Linked DNA regions of Lonchura striata. The protein of the gene in region 3 purifies or fractionates together with the protein of the main gene of each other region. This does not show direct contact. Links are inferred from orthologs where the notes say so. Each region holds a gene or a part of one and is shown on either strand. Other genes may lie near its edges.

Region 1 (7,862 bases), on a different chromosome or scaffold from region 3:
ATCCTTCAGGAAAATAAAAAAGAAAATACAAGCAATTACTTAAAACCAACATTTCCTCCTACTGAGGAGGAAATCCTGTCACCCAGGACTGTGTGGGAGCAGCAAGCAACACTCCTTACCTTCGAACTTGGCGTTCACCATGACGTATAAATGCTCCCTTGGGTAGGCACTCGGGTCCCTGGAGACGGCGTGCAAACTTATAGTGGGGTAATCCAAGGAGAAGCCAACTCCGGAGTTTTCCAGCCAGGATAAGCGACTAATGAGGGAGGAAAAGAGGAATTTAGAAAGTTAGAAATTAACGGAGGACAGTATCTGATTCAAGCTTGCAGAAAAGCAAACCACCCCCAAAACATGAGTAATTGTGGACAAGGCACTTGGCCCACTCTGCAGGCATACACGGTCCTGGACCTGCCTGAACAGGTCTTTGCAACCGCATTAATTGATGGCTGAGGTAAAAGACACCTTTGCTGAAAGAATGTGAAGCTAAGAACTCTAAACCCATCACAACTTTATCTCATTTGCACTAAATGCTGAATTTTCCTCCCTGCGTCTCCATTTTCTTCTCCCTGCAGGTATCTAGCATTCCAAAGTCAACTACAGAGGTTCAGATGATTTGTAATTCAAGCTATTAAATGTGGTTTTCCAAAGAGGAAAACAAAGAACACCGAAAGGCAAGTCAGTGACATAATAATTCCTAGGGAATTATAGATCTGATGTGGGTATAGCCTGTAGACAGAAAACAGCCAGTTCTGTGATCAGCAGAGCCAGGTTATGGGTATTCCTCCAGTCACAATTTATGTGCTATAGCCTCTGCTTTCCCCATTTTTGCTGTCATCCCTAACCACAGCATGGGACAGCACAGGTTGTCACCCCCAGGATGCTGCCTCCTTCATATCAGAACAATCAACATCTTTCTACATACTGAGAAATCAAACTCAAACTAGATTTGGGTGCCTGTAATCAATGATGTCACACAGTGAACAGAAATACTCAGTGCCAGAAAGCAAGACCTCCACCATGTGCAAAACTCAGCATTCACAAGCTTTTGTGGTGGAACAAAACCAATGGAAAGCTCACAGAAGACTCCTGGTATTAGAAAATCTGGCTGAGAGCAAAAGCTAGTACAGTGGGAGCAAGGAGTTTATTTCCTAGCCTCAACTATCCAGTCCTCAATGTTTACAGCTGCTGGTGGAGAGTCACTACATGGATCAAGAGCCACATTATGCTCCTGGATACCCTGTTCTCCCATGGCACTTCTGCAAACACTGGTGTTTTCTGTTCATCCCAACAAGAGACTCTAGTGAAACCTCTGTGGTGCAACTGAAATACATGGAAACTAGCAGACCTGCAGTCGCCTCACACTAAAGTCTACTGAAAGCAACTTACAAGGAAACACAACATTATACATCCTCAGAGCAGATACCCCACAAACAGAAGTCCTGGTAGCTGTAACCAAACTAAATAAAACAGTGAACAAATATGCAGAGAGATTCCTCTCCAACACAGCATTAATAAGCTCTGATGGGGCAAAAGCTCCTCCAACAATAATGGCCATTTCATAAAAGTTTCCTAGTCTGAGGTTTTTAAAAGTGCACATTTTAAATTATGTTTTTGTTCCAACAATGCTCTTCAGTTACAGAATCTATTATGAGTACTTTTCCATGGTTAAAGAAAATTACATGGTTTTAATTATCAAGCTGTCCCCCTGAGCTATAAAATGCAGGGAGAACTGAAAGGAGACCATAAAGAGCTCAGATAACATCTTTCAGAATAACTAGACTAATTCCTGCCTGGTAAAAACAGTCTCCATGTGATTAATGCAACATGAAAGACTTCACAGAACCAGAGTAGTTCTTAAAAGCAGAAACCAACCAGCCCCGTCTACTCCCCTGTTAAAAGAGGAGAGTTGCCATGGTTTTAATTATAGAATGGTTTGGGTTGGAAAAGACCTGAAAGATCATCTAGTTCCAATCCATTACCTTGGGCAGGGACACCTTCCAGTACACCAGGATGCTCGGAGCCACAACCAACCTGGCCTTGAACACTTCCAAGAATGGGACATGCAATGTTTCTTTGGGCCACCTGTGCCAGGGTCTCACCCTGCTCACAGTAAGGAATTTTCTCCTAAAAACCAATCTAGCGCTCTTTTTCAGTCTGAAGCCATTCCTCCTTGTCCTGTCACTACAGTTCCTGTCAAAGAGCCCCTCTGTGCCCTCCCCGCGTGCCCATTCTGATACTGGGAGGTTGCCATGAGGTCCCCACACAACTTTCTCAGCCCGTCTTCACAGAAGAGGTGCTCCAGTCCCCTCATCAACTGTGTGGTGTCTGCTGGGCTTGCTCCAAGCTTTCCAGGTCCTTTTAGCTGGCGATTCCCGTGCTGGATAGAGCGCTCCAGGTGGAGTCTCACAAAAGCCGTGGGGCAGAATTCCCTCTCTTGCCCAGCTGCCACGCTGCTTTTGCTGTGGCCCAGGACACAACTGGCTTTCAGGGCTGCAAGTGCACATTTCTCCACCATGCTGAGTTTTACAAAACGGTTTGGTGGGGAGGAACCTTACAGCCCTGTCGTTCCAAGCCCCTGCCTTGGCCAGGGACACCTCCCACTAGACCAGGTCGCTCCAAGCCCCATCCAGCCCGGCCCTGGATGCCCCAGCCAGCGGGTACCGCTGCCTCTTGCCTGCTTTAAAGCGAGCGGAGCCGCGGGACGCCCCGCAGAGCCCCGCAGCCCCCGAGGCCTCCCCCACATCCCGGGGCCTCAGGGCCGGGGCAGCGCCCGAGGGCTCCCGGCCCGGTGTCCCCGCACCTCTCGGCGATGTACAGCGTGCCGGAGCCCAGGCTGCGCCCCGCCAGCAGCGCCTCCGTGTCCGGCTGCTGGTGGCGGACGCCGTCGGACGGCGGCGGGAAGCGCTTGAGGAAGCTCATGGCGCCGCCGCCGCCGCCCTGCTGCACCGCCGCGGCCGCCGGAAGCGGAACGCGCCGCTCCGTGATGCCGTTCCGCCCGGGCCGCCGCGGCTCCGCCCGGGACGCGATGGCTCCGCCCCGGGATGCCACGGCTCCGCCCCGGGATGTCACGGCTCCGCCCCGGGATGTCACGGCTCCGCCCGGGACGCCACGGCTCCGCCCGGGGCGCCGCGGCTCCGCCCCGGGATGTCACGGCTCCGCCCGGGACGCCACGGCTCCGCCCGGGACGCCACGGCTCCGCCCCGGGATGTCACGGCTCCGCCCGGGACGCGATGGCTCCGCCCGGGACGCCACGGCTCCGCCCGGGGCGCCGCGGCTCCGCCCCGGGATGTCACGGCTCCGCCCGGGACGCCACGGCTCCGCCCGGGACGCCACGGCTCCGCCCCGGGGCGCCGCGGCTCCGCCCGGGACGCGATGGCACCGCCCCGGGACGCCACGGCTCCGCCCGGGACGCCACGGCTCCGCCCCGGGACGCCATGGCACCGCCCCGGGACGCCACGGCTCCGCCCGGGATGTCACGGCTCCGCCCGGGATGCGATGGCACCGCCCCGGGATGTCACGGCTCCGCCCGGGACGCCACGGCTCCGCCCCGGGATGTCACGGCTCCGCCCCGGGATGCCGCGGCTCCGCCCCGGGATGCCACGGCTCCGCCCGGGACGCCACGGCTCCGCCCGGGACGCCACGGCTCCGCCCCGGGATGTCACGGCACCGCCCCGGGACGCCATGGCACCGCCCCGGGATGTCACGGCTCCGCCCCGGGATGTCACGGCTCCGCCCCGGGATGCCACGGCTCCGCCCGGGACGCCACGGCTCCGCCCGGGGCGCGATGGCACCGCCCCGGGACGCCATGGCACCGCCCCGGGATGTCACGGCTCCGCCCCGGGACGCCACAGCTCCGCCCCGGGATGCCATGGCACCGCCCCGGGATGTCACGGCTCCGCCCCGGGACGCCACGGCTCCGCCCGGGATGTCACGGCTCCGCCCGGGATGCGATGGCACCGCCCCGGGATGTCACGGCTCCGCCCGGGATGCGATGGCACCGCCCCGGGATGTCACGGCTCCGCCCGGGACGCCACGGCTCCGCCCCGGGATGTCACGGCTCCGCCCCGGGATGCCGCGGCTCCGCCCCGGGATGTCACGGCTCCGCCCCGGGATGTCACGGCTCCGCCCGGGATGTCACGGCTCCGCCCCGGGATGACACGGCTCCGCCCGGGATGTCACGGCTCCGCCCCGGGATGACACGGCTCCGCTCCCGTTCCGCGGGGCCCGGTGCGGCCGCGGCTCGGGGTGCCGCGGGCGGGTCCGAGTGAGGTCGTCTTTGAGTGGAAAAGAGGAGCCAAGGGCAGCGCTGAGGTGACCGCTGAGGGCTGGAGCGCCTCTGCTGTGGAGACAGGCTGAGAGATGTTCTCCGAAGAGGAGGCTCCAGGGAGACCGTACAGCTCCTTCCAGGACCTAAAGGGGATACAAGAAAGCTGGAGAGGGACTTTGGACAAGGGGAAAGAGATTCAAATTGACAGAGGGCGGAGTGAGATTAGATACTGTGAAGGAATTCTTCCCTGTGAGGGTGGTGAGGCACTGGCACAGGTTGCCCAGAGAAGGTGTGGCTGCCCCATCCCTGGAAGTGTTCAAGGACAGGTTGGATGGGGCTCTGAGCAATCTGATCTAGTGGAAGCTGTCCCTGCCCACAGCAGGGGGTTTGGAACAAGATGGTTGAAACATGTCTTTAATGTCCCTTCCAACCCAAAACGTTCAGATTCTATAATCGACAGCACCAAGAGCAGTCACAGAACCATTGAGTATCCTGAATTGGAAGGGACCCACATTGATCATCCAGTCCATCTGCCAGCCCTGCACAGGACACCACAACAATCACACCTTGTGCTTGAGAGCTTTTTCCAAATGCTTCTTGATCTCTGCCATACCTATTTTAACCTGTAAGTCTCATTGCCCAGGTGACAGAGGGAAAGATAACAATAACAAAGAAATACAGCAGATTCACAATTACCATTGTTGGATGCTGGAAGGGGAAATTCTGGTGGGTGACCACCACCTAACGTCTCATATATGCACATGGAGAAGAAAAAGAAAATCACAAGTACCTGAATTGCTTAAAGGGTATCCAGTTGATTTTCTCAGCAGTGATGAATTGGGGTCAGCACCTGACACTACTGCAGGACCTGGCGAGCGGGCGGTGTTGCAGGACAGCACATTTCAGGGATGGGAAGGCTGCCACCCCTTCATGAGCACTGGTCCTGCTTCTTCCCTGGATTTACCCCATTTCTCTTGCTACTGCAGTGAGAAACAGCGATTACTGATGCATCAGTGAAGTACATCTCTGCCAGGGGATGCTTCTGCTAATGCCATCAGTGAGACAGCATCAATGCAAACATCCATTCTCTCTACTTGTCAGGATGGCAAATGCTCCTGCCATAGCAACATATCAAAAGCAAGTTGTTAGCTTGTCATGGGAGTTAACCTTCCCTTTAATCAGTTTAAAATTTACTTTTTAGGAGTAATTTAGCTACCTGTGTGCAAACGCAGGTTCTCACAAACATGAGCCAATTAATGAGACTAGGTCTCCATCTTTCCTTTCTCTGGACTTTCCTATCTATGGTCTTGGATAGCAAAGACCAGAACATAACATGGTTCTCTTAGTCTGAGGTATTGACAATGTTTTGGAAAGCTGGCCAACCATGCCTACCCATTTTGGATTTTAATTACACAAATAATAACGCAAATAATTGTTACTCATACAAATAATTACCTAGACCAAAATGAAAGCAAATTTCACAGTGAAGTGATATGTAAGCACTGCTGGAATAGCTTGAAAAAACCAACAGAGGCAACAGGAGATGAGAAAAGGGGAAGTTATCAATAATTTTCAAGTTTGCCACACCAAGACAAGTGGTCAACTGGAAACAAAAATTTGCAGTTCATCCAAGAACACAGATCAGACTATGGCAGCTGGTGGGAAGAGATCCAAATACATGGAAATACCATTCACTGCACTTAGGGGCTATAAAGCAATGCTCCTGTTGATGTTCAGCCCCTCTTACCTAATGTGGTTGTCATATCAGCCACAGAGAGTTCTCACCACCTTTGTAGTTAACTCCAAAGTAAAGAACAACTTTAGGTTGTTATAAATTAAAATTTCTGAGTGGTTGGGGTTGGATTACTGCTGGTTGAAGTTGCTGCAGTGGAGTAATACGGAGTTTATTTCTCTTCCTGCATGCAAATGCAAGTCTTCTGTGACACACCACTCTTCCAAAAAAGTGGGGAAAGGGATAGTTTAAGCCCAGGCAGAAAACTGGTTTTGAGGATGAGGCATTAAAAGAGGAGGAGAAACCCACATCTTCCTTATTTACACAATCCAGACACTTCACACCAGAGTACTGAGTGCTGCACCTACGAGAAGCTTAGAGAGGGAAGGCAGATGTTTCCTCTAAGTTAGAATGGAACAGAATGGCATTACCTGAAAACCCTCCTTCGGCTCTAAGAGCTTTAAGAAATGAATTCGGATCCAGCCCCAGTGCTGTCTGAACACTGGGTGTCCAACAGTGATTTAGTTAACCAGGGCTGTGTTCGGAGGCAATGGAGAGCAGCAGGTACCTTGTCACCTTAGCACAGAAGGCAGGAGCCACCATCCAGAGGAGCTTGTTTCTCTCCACAGCACTGCCTGCCATAAGGTGGCCAGTTCAGACTTAGATGCCCAGAATCTGTTAAAAATGGAAGTGTAAAGTTTTGGCAGTGGATTTGGAGCAAAAGGATGAATTTCACAACAATTTCTCATCACACAAAAACACACAGCAGCTTGACTGTAGCCACAGATACATTCAAAATAAAGACTGACAGGCTTCAGCAATTCACACAGAAAAGCCACTCTCTTCTTCAATTTGTTTATTTCTCCCTGACTTTCTCCTGTTGAAGTCCTGAAAATCATCCATGTCCATTGCCATGTGTCAGAACATCTGTTTCTTCAGTGTGTCTCTGCAGATTTCCATTTTTTCCCCCAACTTTTCCAAGTTTTACACATCTCAACCTAAATAAATGAACCTGTCAGGAGCACCACATGAACACCTCATGGCTGTCTGCTGGCACAGCCTTCCTGGGTACAGGGCTGGCTGCAGGCACACTGGTTTTTGTCAAATGACCGCAAAATCTCTAGGAGATGAGATATAAAAAGTATATAAAAAGATGGAGCACACAGAGAAAACCATAGTGACTGCAAAAACAAATCCATCAGGTCTTCCCCACCATCAGCCAGAGCTGCTCAAAGAAAGGAATGTTCTGTCAGTTGAGCTGCCATAACAAAACCAACATAAACCAGGAGTTGCCCATTCCCATGGCAGACAGTAGCACCATCACGGGCTGGAACAATACACAGCAGCCATTACTCAGTGCTTGCTCTAAAACTAAAAAGGGTATGTGCATGTGTAACGCTCATTAAAAAGCACTTGTATCTGCAATACACATTATACTTTGTACATCAAGTTATTTCAATTTTTTTTTATTATGACAATTTACATGTCATATTTATATGAAAGAAATGACAGTAGATATTATAACAAAACCATTATGAAAGAAAAGTTACACAATTAGGCCTACAAGCTATAAAATGGCTTCAGGCCCAGCTTATACACAAAGAGTTCTGACCAGACTGTAGTGAGAGACAACGCTGAACAATTCATTAACAAAAATATTGGCACCAGCCTTAACATTTTTTCTTACTTCATTTACAAGGAATACAGTATTTAAACAGTTGTGTACTGCAAATCTAAAAACATTAGCTGTTAATAAACTGCAGTTAACCCTTTGAGCACTATGCCACCATGATTTCCATTTAAAAAAGTTTTAACGCAGCATGTTTTACATGCACGTGATATTACCAGTGGGAGGGAAAAGAC
Region 2 (7,524 bases), on a different chromosome or scaffold from region 3:
ATCATCAAACTGGCCCTTCTCAACTGCTCTAACTCGCGGTGGAAAAACAAAGCACGGTGCGTGGTGACAGCCTGGGTTGTAAAACCAATCCTCCTTCCATACATATGAGCCGAAAAGATTATTTTCCTCAAAGCTTCCACAGGAGAGATCGTCAGCATCTAAAGAAGATAAAATAAAAGGTTTAAACCATGGGAGATACTCAGGAAAGTAGTGGAAATAGTGTAGCAGGTTATTATGGAGGTCTATGGCATCTTCCAGTTCACTATTTTTATTTGATCTGACAGCACTTATGAATTAGACCTTTAAAAAAGCCAAACAGAAAACTGACTTTGGCAATGTCTTCATTTTAAGGAAGGTTCATGCCACACAAAACAGTTTTCCAGAAAGCTCACTGATATTCCTGGGACTTAGAATGTCTGGCACCAGCTCTTACAAGACATACAATTTTTTCCCATCTTCCCTGGGAATAAAAGACTCATGAAACTATCAATTTTATTTGCCTTCCCCCTTCCTGCTGCTTTCATAACACCATCCCAATGAGGAGTCCTCCAAACCCTCTAAGAGCTGGGTTGCTGGACAGAATGGGAGGGTGGGGTCCTGTAAAAGCTGTCTTAGAACAGTATTTCCACTAGGCTAGAATTAAGCCTAATGGGCCTGTATTTAACCAATCTAGCAAAAAATAGGTCGAAGTATTTTAACAGAAGCATAAAGATTTGCCAGCAGACACTGAGCAAAGAAAAAGCCCAGAGCATGGAGGACCCAACACAATATCCCACATGTCAGCCTTCCAGCAGCACTGCCAAACAAGTCATCACAGCAAGAGCTTAAGACACTTAAAAAGCCATGAAGTGACCAACCAAGTACATTTTCCTATTTGTAGCAGTTAACAACTCAGATGCTCGCTCGTATTTAGTATCCTTCAGAAGGACCCGAATCCAATAAACACAGCTGCCTTAGTTTGTGAGGATTTAAAGAGCTACAGGTGGGATGAGCAAGTTAAATAAAGGGGGAAAAAGAGGAACAGTTCCAGTACAAAATTCAAAACATTCCATAAATTTGACCATATAAGTGATTAAAATGAAAGCTCCGAATGGAAGAGAGGGAAAACCTCCAAAAAGGGAACAATCTTTTCCTCAAATTACCCACTGTGCAAAACCAATACTATATTTCCATTTTAAAATCAAGAGTGGTTTCACAGAAAGCATGAAAATCTTTCTCACTTTCTTCCATTACCAAACAATGGTAATGGAAATAGATGGAATTTAAATGGAAATAAATGGAATTAAAATACAAAAGTTTATTCTAATTATGAGATTAAAATGAACATATTTCCTAAGCAAAGAAAATTATCTTAATTACAAAAAGATACACATTAATGAGAAGAAAAAATGGAAATGGTGCTATTCTGCATCAAGAAAGACACAGCAGGTTATCAGCCACTGCTGGCTAAACCCCATCCCACCCGTTCTGTGCTAAGAACCAGCCTGGCCAATGGAGACTTTTTCATATGTGAGTCACCATAAAAACAAGTTACAAACTGGAGGAATAATTCAACTCTAAATGTTTGAGCGACACTCTTATTTGTTGCCACTTTTGTCCATGGGACTGGTCATGTGCACAACCACTTAGGAGGATCAAGCTTCAACAAAACCAAAGTCAAACAAACAAACAAACCAAAAAAACCACCAAAAAATAATAAAAAAAAAAACTACAGTAAACATAAGCCATACTCAGAGACTGAGCACTGTTCCAAACACCTCCATGCTCTAGAAAGACATTATAATTAACAATCTTGAATTTTCTTGAATAACTTTTACACAAAAAAGTTAGTTCCTGCATGCCATGTACCTTTCTCTTCTGCTTCAAAATAACAAAGATACACCACTGAAAACTTGCTTCACCAGAAAAACTCAGCACAAGCATGGAATTCACCTCCTTACCATGCCACTCCCTAGGAATTCAATTGCTCAAGCAAGAGTTCCATGTGAAATGCACAACACCACCTTTAAATCCTGTATTTGACAACAAAATTGTTCATTACACATCCAGGAGGTCAACATAACGAGAAATTGCTTCCCAAAATAAAACTTGGAGTTACTTAAACACATTCTCCTGCAAAGCACCTGCCTCCAACTATCCAAAACTCAAATGAAGCACAAGTAAACGTGTACTCACCGTAAGGACCACATGTAGACTCCTCCAATTCTTTATCCCAGTCCTCCACCTCATGCTCAGATGCATCCTGCTGCCCTGAAGACTCAGGCACATTAGAAACTTCACTATCCCACACATCCAGGTCAGCATATATATTGTACCAGCCCTCATTAGTAGAGCCACTGACATCATCTTCATTGGGGGAGGTAGAAGCAGATTCACTTTCTTCAGACTTGCCATCAGGAACATTTGGAATATTCTGCAGAAAACATTCTAAAACCAGTAGAAAGCACCAACAGATACATTCAGAAATTAAACAACAATTAAGAGTTCAGAGAGGTACAAAAATGCACTTTGTGACTACTACTCTTATTGTAATACATGCAGTTTCCCAGATATGTAATATCACTACAGAGGTGCTTCACATTTCAGATGATTGGAAAGAGTGGACATAGCCTTGCACCACAACACCAGCACAAATCAGGATTTTCCACAGACTCTTGTTGGAAAATAACTCTGTAAACTAGGGCAAAGGACACAACAGTCTTGTTTCATCACATTCACCTGTAGGTATTTTAAAAAAAGTTCTGTTTTTTTAAAAAAAAGTCATATTGATTAATTACTCATGTACCAAATAGCTACATGGAAATAATTTAGTGCAGTAAGTAAAGAGCATTTCCCAAGAATCACCAAAAGGTTTTCGGTAGATTTCTCAAGTAGTGCACAAGTTTCAATATTCACGACCTCCTTTGTTTTGTCCTACCTTTTCTGGGCTTCCCGATCATGGTTTCTGTCTTATTAGGAAGCTGTTCCCCCTCAGAGTTTGCAGCCCCAGAGGCGGCAGCCATCACCTACGAGACATTTTTAAAGAATGCAGTAGCAGCTCTGATTGCTCACCAAACTGCTACCCCGTGTGCTCCCGAGCGTCTCCATTTGTTCCCTTGATGAATCACAGGTTTAACAACAAACTGGCTTTCACTTCAGAAGGTGAGCCTGCAGAGCTACAGCTAATTCTGCTGCTGCCATCGCTCACCCTCAGAACAGCCCGTCTCCTCACGCACAGCCCCGGCCCACACCGTGCCCCTCCGGGAGGGCAGCACCGCGGGCAGCACAGGGGTAATCGCCACACGAGGAGTGGAGGAAGCGCCAACACTGAGCCAGCCGCCCTGCGGGACCCTCCGACAGCCCTGAGGGGCTGGACGCGATGCGTGGCGAGCAGGAGACCCTCAGCGCCTGTGCGGGAAGGGCACAGCGAGCTGCCCTCACTCCCAGCGCGACAAGGAGGCGGTGCGGGCAGGGCGCGGACCCCGGACGAGCCCTCACGGCGGCCCCGCCGCCCCCTCGCTCTCCCCGGGACCCCCGAACCTTGGGAGCGGGGCCCGCGGCCCGGCCCCGGGGCTCCATCGGCAGCGCCGGCGGGCGGGATCGCTGCGGCACCGGGCGGAGGCTGCAGGCACGGCGCGGCCGCTCCCGGCCCGGCCTCGGTGCCCGCAACGCCGCCCGCAGCGCCCCGGCTGCGGAGCCCACCGCGCCCAGCTTCGGAATCACAGACACGATTCCGACGGAAAGTCCTCCGAGATCGTCTAGTGCAACCATGGCCCAACACCGCCATCCAACCGAGGCAAATACAGGCGTAAGAGCTCTGAGAAAGCACTTTTTTACTTGTGAAGTTGTAAATAAAGTATCGATGTCTCTCATGGCTGGGCGGACTTTCCCCCTTGTCGAAAAATAACAATTTCCTTCCGGCCTCGTGGTAGCAGCATGCTCAGAACACGAAGAGACGGGAAGCACCTTGGCTGGACAGCTGTGGCAGGTTTCAAGCACGTGTGCTTGCAGGGCATGTTGCCCTGGGGAGAATGGCAAAGTTCTGTGAGGAACCAGAACAGCTGACAGAAAAGGGCCCACTTTCTGAAATGATGGAGTTACCAGCTTTGTTGGACTTTAAAACTCCAGACTTTGCACTTAAAAACTTTTAGTTGAGCAACTGACGAAGCAAGAAGTGGTTCAGAGAGGGAGTAAGAGCATAAGGGGCAGGGAGGGTGTAAGAGATTCTCAATAAGGAAATCTCAATGTCAGACAATGAGGTGGAAGCGAACTAGCAGGGATATAGGAGATGGCCTGGCTAAAAGTGTGGGAAACACAAAAGCAGAATGTACTTCAGATCTGGTAACAGAAGAATCTTACCAAACTGCTGCTCCAAACTTTATTTCCAGCTAGTTAAGTTACTGGGATTCATTGCTTGAGAGGAGCTGCAATTTCTACTTGAGTGTAAAATCAATAAATATTTCCCTGTCTTATAATTATGTCACCCTTCAGTCACTGGGAAATTGCACAAAGGAACACTTGTTTAATATTTTTGTACTTTCCCTACATTTCTCAGTTGATCATTTATGGTGATTTCTCAGGTTTGTGGCTCTGTAAACAGCCAAGGACAGCACCCTTTTAAAAAACATTACACGTTTTTTAGGCATGGTGGACAGAAAATTGGAAGTGTAGATCAGAGCTTTCCCCTCTCACCTCAAGGACATGGCTAACAGATCTCAGCTCCCCTCTACCCTTCATCACTCTCAAGATGCAAACACCAATGCAAGGGAGCTGCAGAGGCTGTTTCTTTTTGTCATGAGGATTACAGATTAGTTCTACGCTAAGAAGCAATAAACATTGTAATTTTACTGATTTCTGATTACCTAATGAAAAGTGTTCCACTTTTTATGATTCAGCTTCCTACAATAAAAATATGACCCACAGGTGTAGTTTCCATGGGGTTTGGTTTGGGTTTTTTGCATTTGGGTGCTGTAATATTAGCTTTCCAAAGTGTAAAAACTGATGCACTACAACTATCTGAATGTTTAAGCAGGATCAAAAGTTTGCTCTTTAGAAGTCTTGATGAAAACACCCTCAGGGGTTTGCTTCCTCTGACTGTGCACTTGAACCTGCCCCTGGCAGAATCAACACTAGAAAGAAATTACTGCAACAGAGAAGATGAGTCTTTTTTGTCACATAAAATGTAAAGGTAAACTTTAATAAAGTCCAGGAACGTATTTACCTTTGTACAAAGAAGTTAAAAAATGCAGTCATGTTATAACTATGTATAGTTTTTCATAAATGTCCAGTTTGTAATAAAGTGTATTTAGAAACAAAATCTTCCACCAGATCTCCCTGCAACATCTTCATAGCTCGCCAGTGAATGCTCCCACAGTTTTCTGGTTTGCCTTGGGGATGACTTAGCTCCTCCTTGATATAATCCAGCCAGAGGTCTTTAAAAGGAAAATGAAAGTTCTGTTTAGATTTTGACCAGATATTACTTAACAAGCATATCAAGACTCACTAGAAACTCTTTTTCTAAGTGTCTCTAATATTAATGCAGTACAGTTTACTTTGTAAGACTAAAATCTCTGGCACCTTGAGGAGCAAAAATCCTGGGTTCTATATTCCAACTGGAACAGTAATGTCTGAAGAAATAATGCAACAATAATTGTGCTGCGTACCTTCTTCAAATTAATACTGCAGAAATCTTGATTATAAATATATAGCTCCATACTGTTCATAAATCCAAATTTAAAATGATACACATCTCTTATGCCAGCCAGTGTCTGAATGTGATTTGCTCCTAATTGTGCTGAAGCCATCCCAGTGTCAGTGATCCTGGGATGACAGGGGAGAGGGTCCCTGCAGTGTCCTACTCTTAATGGCACAGAAGAAATAAGCTCCAATCTGCATGACAGCAAGCACAAGAGCAGAACAAACAGGTACATTTTAAAATGGGTGGGAATAAAAGAGGCAGCAGTGAATGAATGAATAAATAATAAAAACCAGAATCTCCCTCACCAGTATTTGTTGAGCCAAACTCCCTCAAGGCACGTTCATAATATTCTCTCAGATGAAGCATTCTGCAGGATTCCTAAAAAAGGAAGGTATTAAAAGGCCACTTATTTTGTACAGAAGTGAATCTGCAGCATGATTCGACTGTGACAAAGAAAGAGAGTAATGGCAATTACATGCACACACTGCTGAAGATTAGTTACTATGGAACTTGGGTTTGTATCACATCCTGTGAATCAAGTGCAGAGGACAAACATGAACTGATCACAGACTAACACCACCACTCTGCTTCCTATTTAAATCCCAGGTTAGAACTGTACTTTACAAATACAAAGCATTAATTGGATAGTCAAGAACTTACTTGCTCCTTTTCTATTTGGATCATCTTCCTGAAGAAGTCAAGTGAAAATGGACGATCTTCACACAGGCTGAAATAAAATAAGTTACTTTAGATTTAAGGACTTCTAACATATACCCTAGAATAATCAGGTTTGAAGGTATTTTTTTTACCTGGTAAAGAGTCTTTTAACTTTCTTATAACCACTATTTCTGTAAGTCCAGTCAAGGTACCTTTCTTTCATAGTCACAGATTCAGCAGGTGTTGTGGCACGTAAGGATCTCTGCAAGTTTAAAAGGAAAAAAAAAACAAAATAAACAAAAAGTAAACCTATCACATAACCTACAATTAAATAGCTCAATTAGTGCTTCTCCCTAGTTAGGCATCTGACACAAAGGAGATCTCCTAAATCTAAAACACATTTCTCCTCCAGTATTCTATATGGCTGGAACTGACATTTCCTTAAACCCCTTATTGCAAAGGGTTTCACAGTACTCTACAAACAACTGAATTCAAGCTTCCACCTGAAGTACATGTTTTATGTGGCAACTGGGAGGAAGAAACACAACCCAATAAGCCAGGCAAAGAGAAAATGTTTTGTCCTACACTACTGACGAAATCCATAGAGAGATTAAAGTCCTCATTCTGATCTTGACTTTTCTGTAACAAGACTGATGTTTTCACAAAAACTGGAAAATTCTCTTTTCTGTGCTCAGATAGGTATCTGAAAACAGAGCAAATATTCTAGACCACAAAGTAGGAGTCCATCATTGGCTGTGCTTACAAACATCCATATTCCTTAGGACATGGGAATGACACTTGTGCCTGTAAGTCTATGACCAACTGGTTTTTTTAATGCACGTAGTTTTGCTTTAAATTCTTTGACATCAATACACACATGAACAAACTTCAGGAGAAAGCATTTGTTGCATGTTCCATCCACACACATTGTTTCACGTTATTGACAAAGACATAAAAGTAGATTTCGATTAGCTAAGTACCTGGTAGAGAGCTTCAGTGTCTTCCTTGCTGTTTGTGCTCTCACTCCACTCCACCCAGAGGGTCCACAATGGCAAAGTGCCCTACAAGGTCAGCAAACAATCATAGCAGAAATACAGTGACTGACTTACAGAAACAGACAGCAACACAGCCATCAGGTTCTGTACTACCTGCCATAAAAAACAGCCTTTGGACACAGCTCTTGGAAAGAC
Region 3 (6,954 bases):
GAAGACAAAGAAAGAAGGCAAAAAACATGTTTGAAATGCTACTGAGTTAGTCTGTCAAAAGAAGACTATACTTTTTTTTACTGAATTTCCTAGATATATAATAAATTTAGCAATGAACAGGAGCCAAGTTTGATGCACCACATTTAAATGATTTGGTTTACTTTTTTTTTTATTACACCACCTGTAACTGAAAAAAAAAAAAAGAAAACTATAAAAAAATAAAAAGCATTTTAGAGTGGTGGAAACCATCTGAGAGTACTTCCTCTTTTGTTGTAGTGCATTCCACTGCTCTTTATACCTATTTTCACTTCTCTGTTTGACTGTGTCAGGCCTGGTATGTGCACTATGTTCTCATGGAAAGAATAAGATTATATACTCATGTTATTCTCTCTCCAATTGTTTGGAGGCTATGTTTGTTGTCCAGTGGCTGCCTACCAAAAGCATGTAATTTGTAACTTCTTTAATTTTGAATTTTAATTTAATTTTAAATTAAATTTAGTTTTAAATTTATAATAACTGTAATTAAACATAATTTAAATATTAATTAAAATTTTAAATAATGTGTAATCAGAATAGGAACTGCAATGCAAATGCATTATTCCCTAAATTCATTACTTAGTTAATTCTAGGAACAACTCCAGCACCTGCATTTGGTATTCTTAGCACTTCTCTTTTATGTTATACATCTGTGAGGCCTGGCACTTACATATAAAATTTTGCAATATAAGTGCAAAAAAACTACTACTACTAATTTTATCAGAGAAGGGTATTTTCATCATTCAAGCCTCCATGGAATCTTACCATGGCTTCTTCTGGAAAGAAAGTATTGCTAGCTGAGTTCAAATTATCTTCCCCAGGAAGCTTTTTCTCAGTATCAAAACCTGAGAATGTCTTGAATAGAGAGACAGAGGGTTGAGGGAGAAAATGAGACATGTCTGTTATGGAGGCTACATTAATAATACAGTCCAGCACTGACTCCACATTTCTGCAAATGGCTCTTCATGAGGACCTACAACGGGCTTAATTGATAATTATTCTGGCAATGAAACATCTCCCAGGCTCCTGCATTCTCTTTTAGTATTGTTTTCTTTTTGCCAGCCCAACATTCTCCTTTGATGTGGTTGTTCTTCCTTGCCTAGGGGTTCCTTCTCTGGGAAAAAAATGTATCCACACCCAAAGACTGCTTCCAATCGACTATGCAGAAAGGTATGTTGGTTCTACAACAAGTGTTTCTATGACTTTGGAACTCTGTAGTTTTCTGAGAGGAATTAAGTTTTCCACAGTGTTTTCAGAGAATATTCATGGAGAAGATACAGCTGAGGAAAATAGGTATTTTGCTTGGAACTTAATGAATGCATCACTTGGCCTCCTCAGTGTGTATCCTTTTTCATCACGAGTCCTCTATTAAAAATATGATGGAACTACATTAATGTTCACAGCAGTATTCAAATATCATATTAGCTAATTTCTCTTTTATATATATGTGTGCCTATTCCATTTAAACCAATGTCTTGTATAAAGTGAAAATATATCCTAGAATATTGGAATATCAATCATACTGCATGAGACAGAGAAGATCCTGGTCACTTGTTGCGTTGCTGTAATAACTGCTCAGGACATAGCCATTTTCAGATAGGTTTTTGTATAAATCACCTAACAGTCCCTTGACCATGCTTTGTTCCCCCTTCTCTTGTTTCTCCATGCTCTGTACAGTCCATATTGTTCATGTGCTTCACTCATGCCATGGCAGTAAGAGCTGACCTCAAAATCTAACAAAGTCTGTTGATTTAAACAGGTTTTGCACCAGCTAAAGTTCTGTCAGACAGCACTGTGAACCACCAAGTACAGTGTGGCATACTTTGGCAGGGGAGGGGAGTGTGTTAGATAAATGTCACTAAAACTTGCTCATCCTAGCACATGGCACTTGAAATCCCTCTCGTTTAGCCTCACCAACAAGAACATACTGCTGTCAGATTTTCCAAGATGGGCTCAGAAGCACAGGTTGCTTCACAGAGCTGGCAAGCAGCATCTTTTCTTGCCACTGAGTTGTACATTTCATCCTGCAAATATGAAAAGGAAGCTCTTGATGCTCCTCTCAAGTCAGTCTTCTTCCAGGAAGGAGCAACACTGCAGTTCTCCCAGTGATTCTGAGTATGGTCTCAGCAGTTTCCCAGCTTCAGTGTGAACAGAATATATACCTGTCCTACATAATATGTTAAGTACAGAATTAGTGCATCTTTGAGTGTGAACAAACATTTTTTTACACTCAGTCTTCAGGAAATATAACAATGTAGCCACAAGAAGAGTAAGAGAGGTAGTATTTCTTTTGGAGTCTCATGTGACATGGAGCTACAGTGGTCCAAGGGAAATGCATGGTCTGATAGAGGTCTGTCCTCCCATGGATTAGGGGTGATAACTGGTAGATCTCTGACACTTTTATCATTCTCCTTCTGAAAGTATCACCATTGCTAGTGGACTGTTTCCCTTTACCCTGTTGAAGATGAATTGCTTGTAGAACAGTTTGTGCCTGCTTCCAAAGGAGCTCTTAAAACCTGGGACAAAAATTGTGTGCTGCACTCTAAGGCTGTCAAAAAAGCTTTGCAGAAGCCTGAAGGAATAAAAATGAGTGTGGAAATCCTCTGGCAGTATTATGTTTCCAACAGTCTCTTGTCATTACAATAAATGGACATATTTACTTAAGAGCACTGAATAATTTATTAGAGTGAAATAATCCTGTAGAACAGTATCTATGCACATGGATTAACCCACATGGATTAAGAGTCCTTCAACACCTGGTTCTAAAAGAAAGATCAGTAAACAGGTGATCTTAATCCAATTTCTGTTGTAGGTGGCTGTGCATTAGGGAAAATGAGCACAGAGACTCAAAGAACTGATTTTATGGTAGTGTTGCAGATGCAAATGACACCTATTGTATTAAATCTCTTTTAAAGGTGTCTCTACACAAGCATGCATGTTTTCTGCACAATCACAGTTTTTCCATAGCTTTTATACATACCACTTGGATAATGCAAAAACATCTACAAAAAAGAGACTGCATTTTAAAATGTAGTCATGTACCAGATAGCAAAAGCCCAGCACTCACTTTTATTTTCCTAATCCTACATTATGTCGGTATGTAAACAGAATATAATGTTATTCAATGCAAGGAGTGTTAGGAGCTAAGATGCTTCTAGCCAGGCCTGCAAATTTGGAATTCCTTTGGCTTCAATTAGAGCTTTATTTTAATAAAGATTGGAATTTAATATTTTAGAGTATACCAAATAAAACTTCTCAGTATCTACTGCATAGGACACAGATCATCACTTGTGTTTTAGGGAAAACAACCATGAATCTGTGGCAGGAATGGTCATTCCCAGTCAAGAATTGAGGGCTTGAAAACGCACTGTTTTTAAGGTTATATTATTGAATATTATAGAGATGTGCCACAGCTCATTGTTGACGTATCGGCAGCTGCCAGGGATTCAGAGAATCCCAGAATGGTTTGGGTCGGAAGGGACATTAAAGTTCATTTAGTTCCATCCCCCTGCCGTGGACAGGGACACCTCCACTAGCCCAGCTCGCTCCGAGCCCGGTCCGGCCTGGAACACTTCCAGGGATGGAGCATGCACAGATCCTCTGGGCACCTGTTCCAGAGCCGCACCACCCTCACATGGAAGAACTTTTTACCGCCATTTAATCTAACCCTACTCTCTTTCAGGGTGAAGCCATTCCCCACTGCAAGCCCTTGTAAAAGTCCCTCCGTGTGCCGGCTCCGGGCCCGCCCTGCGCAGGAGCCCGGCAAGCGGACGGGAATGAGAACGGGGTCGGGATCGGGAAAGGGAATGGGAAAGGGAACGGGAATGGGAACGGGAGCGGAAGCGGCGCTGGGGCGGGTCCGTGCCGGCCGCGCTCGCCCGCGCTGCTTTTGTCCCTCTGGCGGCGCCGTAGCGGCCGGGCCGGCGCCTGCGTCCCGCGGGCATCCCGGCTGCCGGATCCTCCCGGCTCCCGGCTCCCGGCTCCCGCCATGGATTACCGAGCGCTGGTGATGAGCCAGGTCGTGCCCGGGCAGTTCGACGATGCGGACTGCTCGGACAGGTGAGGGCGCGCCGAGGGGCCGGGGCTGCGGGCGCTGGGGCTGCGGGCCAGGCGAACGCGCGGAGCAGCCCCGGGATTTGCCCGGGATGTGACTTCGCCCTGGGCGGCGGGGAAGGGAGAGCGGGTGGTGCTGCCGCGTTACCGGAGGAGGTGAGAGGGAAGGCTGCGTGTGTCTCTCGGCTTCCCTTTTCCATTTCCCGTGCTGCTTTCGGACACTTGTCCTGGCAGAAAGCCGTGACACGTTATTGACGTTACAGAATCGCAGCATCAATTAGGTTGGAAAAGACCTCAGAGATCATCGAGGCCAAGCTGTGAGCCAGCACCACCGTGGCACTGAGTAACAAGTCCAGTCTTTCCTTAAACATCTGCAGGGACGGTGACTCCACCAGCTCCCTGGGCAATCCATTCCAATGTCTAACCACCCTTGCTGTGGAGAAATTCTTCCAAATTCTCCTGGTGCAACTTTGGGCCGTGTCCTCCTTTCCTGTCACTTGTTGCCTGGGAGAAGAGACCGACCGCACCTGGCCACAGCCTCCTTGCAGGCAGCTTTAGGGAGCGATCAGGTCCCCCCTGAGCCTCCTCTTCTCCAGGCTAAACACCCTCAGCTCCCTCAGTTGCTCCTCGTAGGACTTGTGCTCCAGAACCTTCACCAGCTTAATTTCCCTTTCCTAGACCTGATCCAGCACCTCAATATCCTTCCTGAATAGAAGGCCTCAGAACTGGACTCAGTGAATTAAGATCCAACTGAAAATTTAGTCATTTATGGGGATAAGTGTATTGAATTTTTGGTGACTGTAACAATAATTTTTAGTTATAGAGACATCTGTGTTTCTTTTAAGTGACTCTGTGGAAGACACAGAATCATGTAAAGAGGGTGAGGTCCCTGAGAGCTGCCAGTTATGCACGTGTGAAGAAGTTAATGCTGAAGAAGGAGATGGTGATGATAACAGTGATGCTGAAGAGGATGATGAAGACTGGGACTGGGATGATGAGGTGGGAAGACTCACAAAGCGCCACAATGCTGCTGGTGGATGCAATCCACAGGTATGCTGGAGGTCATTCTGTGGGCTTTGAGGGTGCCCAAGAGGTAATGGGGCCAGCCCGGAGGCTTTGTTTTTTGTTAGTGTTATGCTGAGTACAGATGCAAACAGCTCAGTGTTTTTTCAGAATTTTTTCCTTGAGAGAATCCCCTTCCTTTGCATCTGTTCCTCTGAGGTGCTGTATGTGTATGTACATTGTAGCCGGAGCTCAGTTTGATTTTCTTGTCTCAAACCCTGTTGCTGGATTCTCTGTGTCTGTCTCTACTGCAGTTTCCTTCTCTTCCCTACCTTCCTCAACTTCTCTTTCTTTGCTCACCCTGATCTCTACCAATGTTCCTAACTTTTTGGTATTTGTCCTCTGTGTTTCTGAGCATCTTCCTCAGCCTATTTATTTTTAGACTATCTGCTAATCACATGCAGGGTGAATCTAGTCCTATTTTTGACTTAATAGTGAAGAAGGCGAAGAAAACTACAAGCATGCGAAATGGAGCTGGGGGTGCTTGGAGTGAATTCATTTAGCATGTATGGTGTTGGCATAGAAACTCTGGCATGTTGCACTACAACACAAAATAACTTATACACAGTTCTAAGATCAAAAGAGTAAGAGGAAGTAAGTTTTATTTCTGACTTTGCAATATATAGAATTCCAAAAGTGACAGTGGATTGGAGGAAGAAATTGCCACCTCTCCAACCACACTAGTCAAACCAACAGTCTGTCAATTCTCTCTTCCCACAAAGAATGCAAAACAATCATTATTTACATGACAGTGCATGAGAAACTCCAGTAGAAATATGTAAACATCAGAAGGCATAGAAAACTTCTAAAAGAACTTTAAAATTTTTGAAAGAGCAGGGTGACACTGGCGTTGTGCAGAATAAAAAGCACTCATGAATGTAAAGAAGGATGCTAGTTCTCACATCAACTTGGACACTACAGGTTCAAAACCTCATTTTTCTTATTGCTACCAACTTAGTAGAACAGTAGAGATGAATCAGAGTGGTGCTGATCACAGCATAGCATGTCTGGCAGTGCTTGTCCTGGGTGGTATATTGCCTTTATTTAGAGGTTTATGCTGTTCAATGATGGTGAAATCATGTTCAGGTATTAGTTGTGTTTGGGGAGGACCACATGTAAGAAAAGACAAAATCATGGAAAGTTTTCTCAGTTCATTACCTCTGCATTTTTTCCTTACTTTATTTCTTTAGATTTTCTATTCTCTTCCTTTTACAGACAGAAAAAGTGCTCTGTGAGAGACTTGTAGCTTCCTAGACTAAAAGATTACTCTGGTGGAGGACTTTTAGAATTTTAACTGATGTGTAACTTGTATTTTCTTTTCTTGATTTAAATAAAATCTGGTGTTAATCCATATCTGTTTCCTTATATCTCATGTGCTTTTCATCTTACAGCTTTAGGCATAGGCATTTGAGATGACTTTTCCAATGAAATGGTTTGAATTAAAAAGGGCTGTGTACAGAACATGACTTATGTTAACAAATCCTTTATTTCAGGCAAATAGGCAGACACTTAATTGCTCTTCAGCAAAACTGTCAACCCCTGCAGGCAAGGTTTTAAGAAAATTTGAACACAAAATCAATTTAGGTGAGTATAATTGCACTATTGTCCATTATTTAAACAGTTGCCACTCTGTGGCATTCTCAGACTAATTTCACTCATGTTAAGCCAGAACTCACTGGAATGGGTGAGTTAGCCATTGCCGGAGAGATTAAAAATGGCTTTTGAGTACTTGAAGTTGCCTTTAGTCTCCAAGAACTGGGTGTCATACCCCCCCCCTCCACCTTCAGAACTACATGGCTGTTT

The links. The genes of interacting proteins can lie anywhere in the genome.
Region 1: the proteins of RIOK1 (region 3) and CLNS1A purify together in Homo sapiens (affinity purification with mass spectrometry; 3 studies listed by BioGRID and IntAct, with this or other methods). This does not show direct contact. The link is inferred for Lonchura striata from reciprocal best matches to the Homo sapiens genes RIOK1 and CLNS1A.
Region 2: the proteins of RIOK1 (region 3) and COPRS purify together in Homo sapiens (affinity purification with mass spectrometry; 3 studies listed by BioGRID and IntAct, with this or other methods). This does not show direct contact. The link is inferred for Lonchura striata from reciprocal best matches to the Homo sapiens genes RIOK1 and COPRS.

Annotation. Positions count from the first base shown.
Region 1 is NC_134604.1:32,435,851-32,443,712, forward strand, and holds the start of CLNS1A (methylosome subunit pICln), read right to left. Parts: upstream 3,003-7,862; 5' UTR 2,920-3,002; coding exon 2,801-2,919; intron 257-2,800; coding exon 120-256; intron 1-119. UniProt on the Homo sapiens protein: Involved in both the assembly of spliceosomal snRNPs and the methylation of Sm proteins.
Region 2 is NC_134621.1:8,030,494-8,038,017, forward strand, and holds the start of COPRS (coordinator of PRMT5 and differentiation stimulator), read right to left. Parts: upstream 3,003-7,524; coding exon 2,918-3,002; intron 2,428-2,917; coding exon 2,176-2,427; intron 159-2,175; coding exon 1-158. Other genes in the region: UTP6 (U3 small nucleolar RNA-associated protein 6 homolog), read right to left, coding at 5,254-5,411, 5,983-6,055, 6,338-6,404, 6,487-6,596, 7,315-7,395. UniProt on the Homo sapiens protein: Histone-binding protein required for histone H4 methyltransferase activity of PRMT5.
Region 3 is NC_134603.1:93,196,183-93,203,136, reverse strand, and holds the start of RIOK1 (serine/threonine-protein kinase RIO1), read left to right. Parts: upstream 1-3,936; 5' UTR 3,937-4,024; coding exon 4,025-4,095; intron 4,096-4,934; coding exon 4,935-5,139; intron 5,140-6,644; coding exon 6,645-6,735; intron 6,736-6,954. UniProt on the Homo sapiens protein: Involved in the final steps of cytoplasmic maturation of the 40S ribosomal subunit. Involved in processing of 18S-E pre-rRNA to the mature 18S rRNA. Required for the recycling of NOB1 and PNO1 from the late 40S precursor.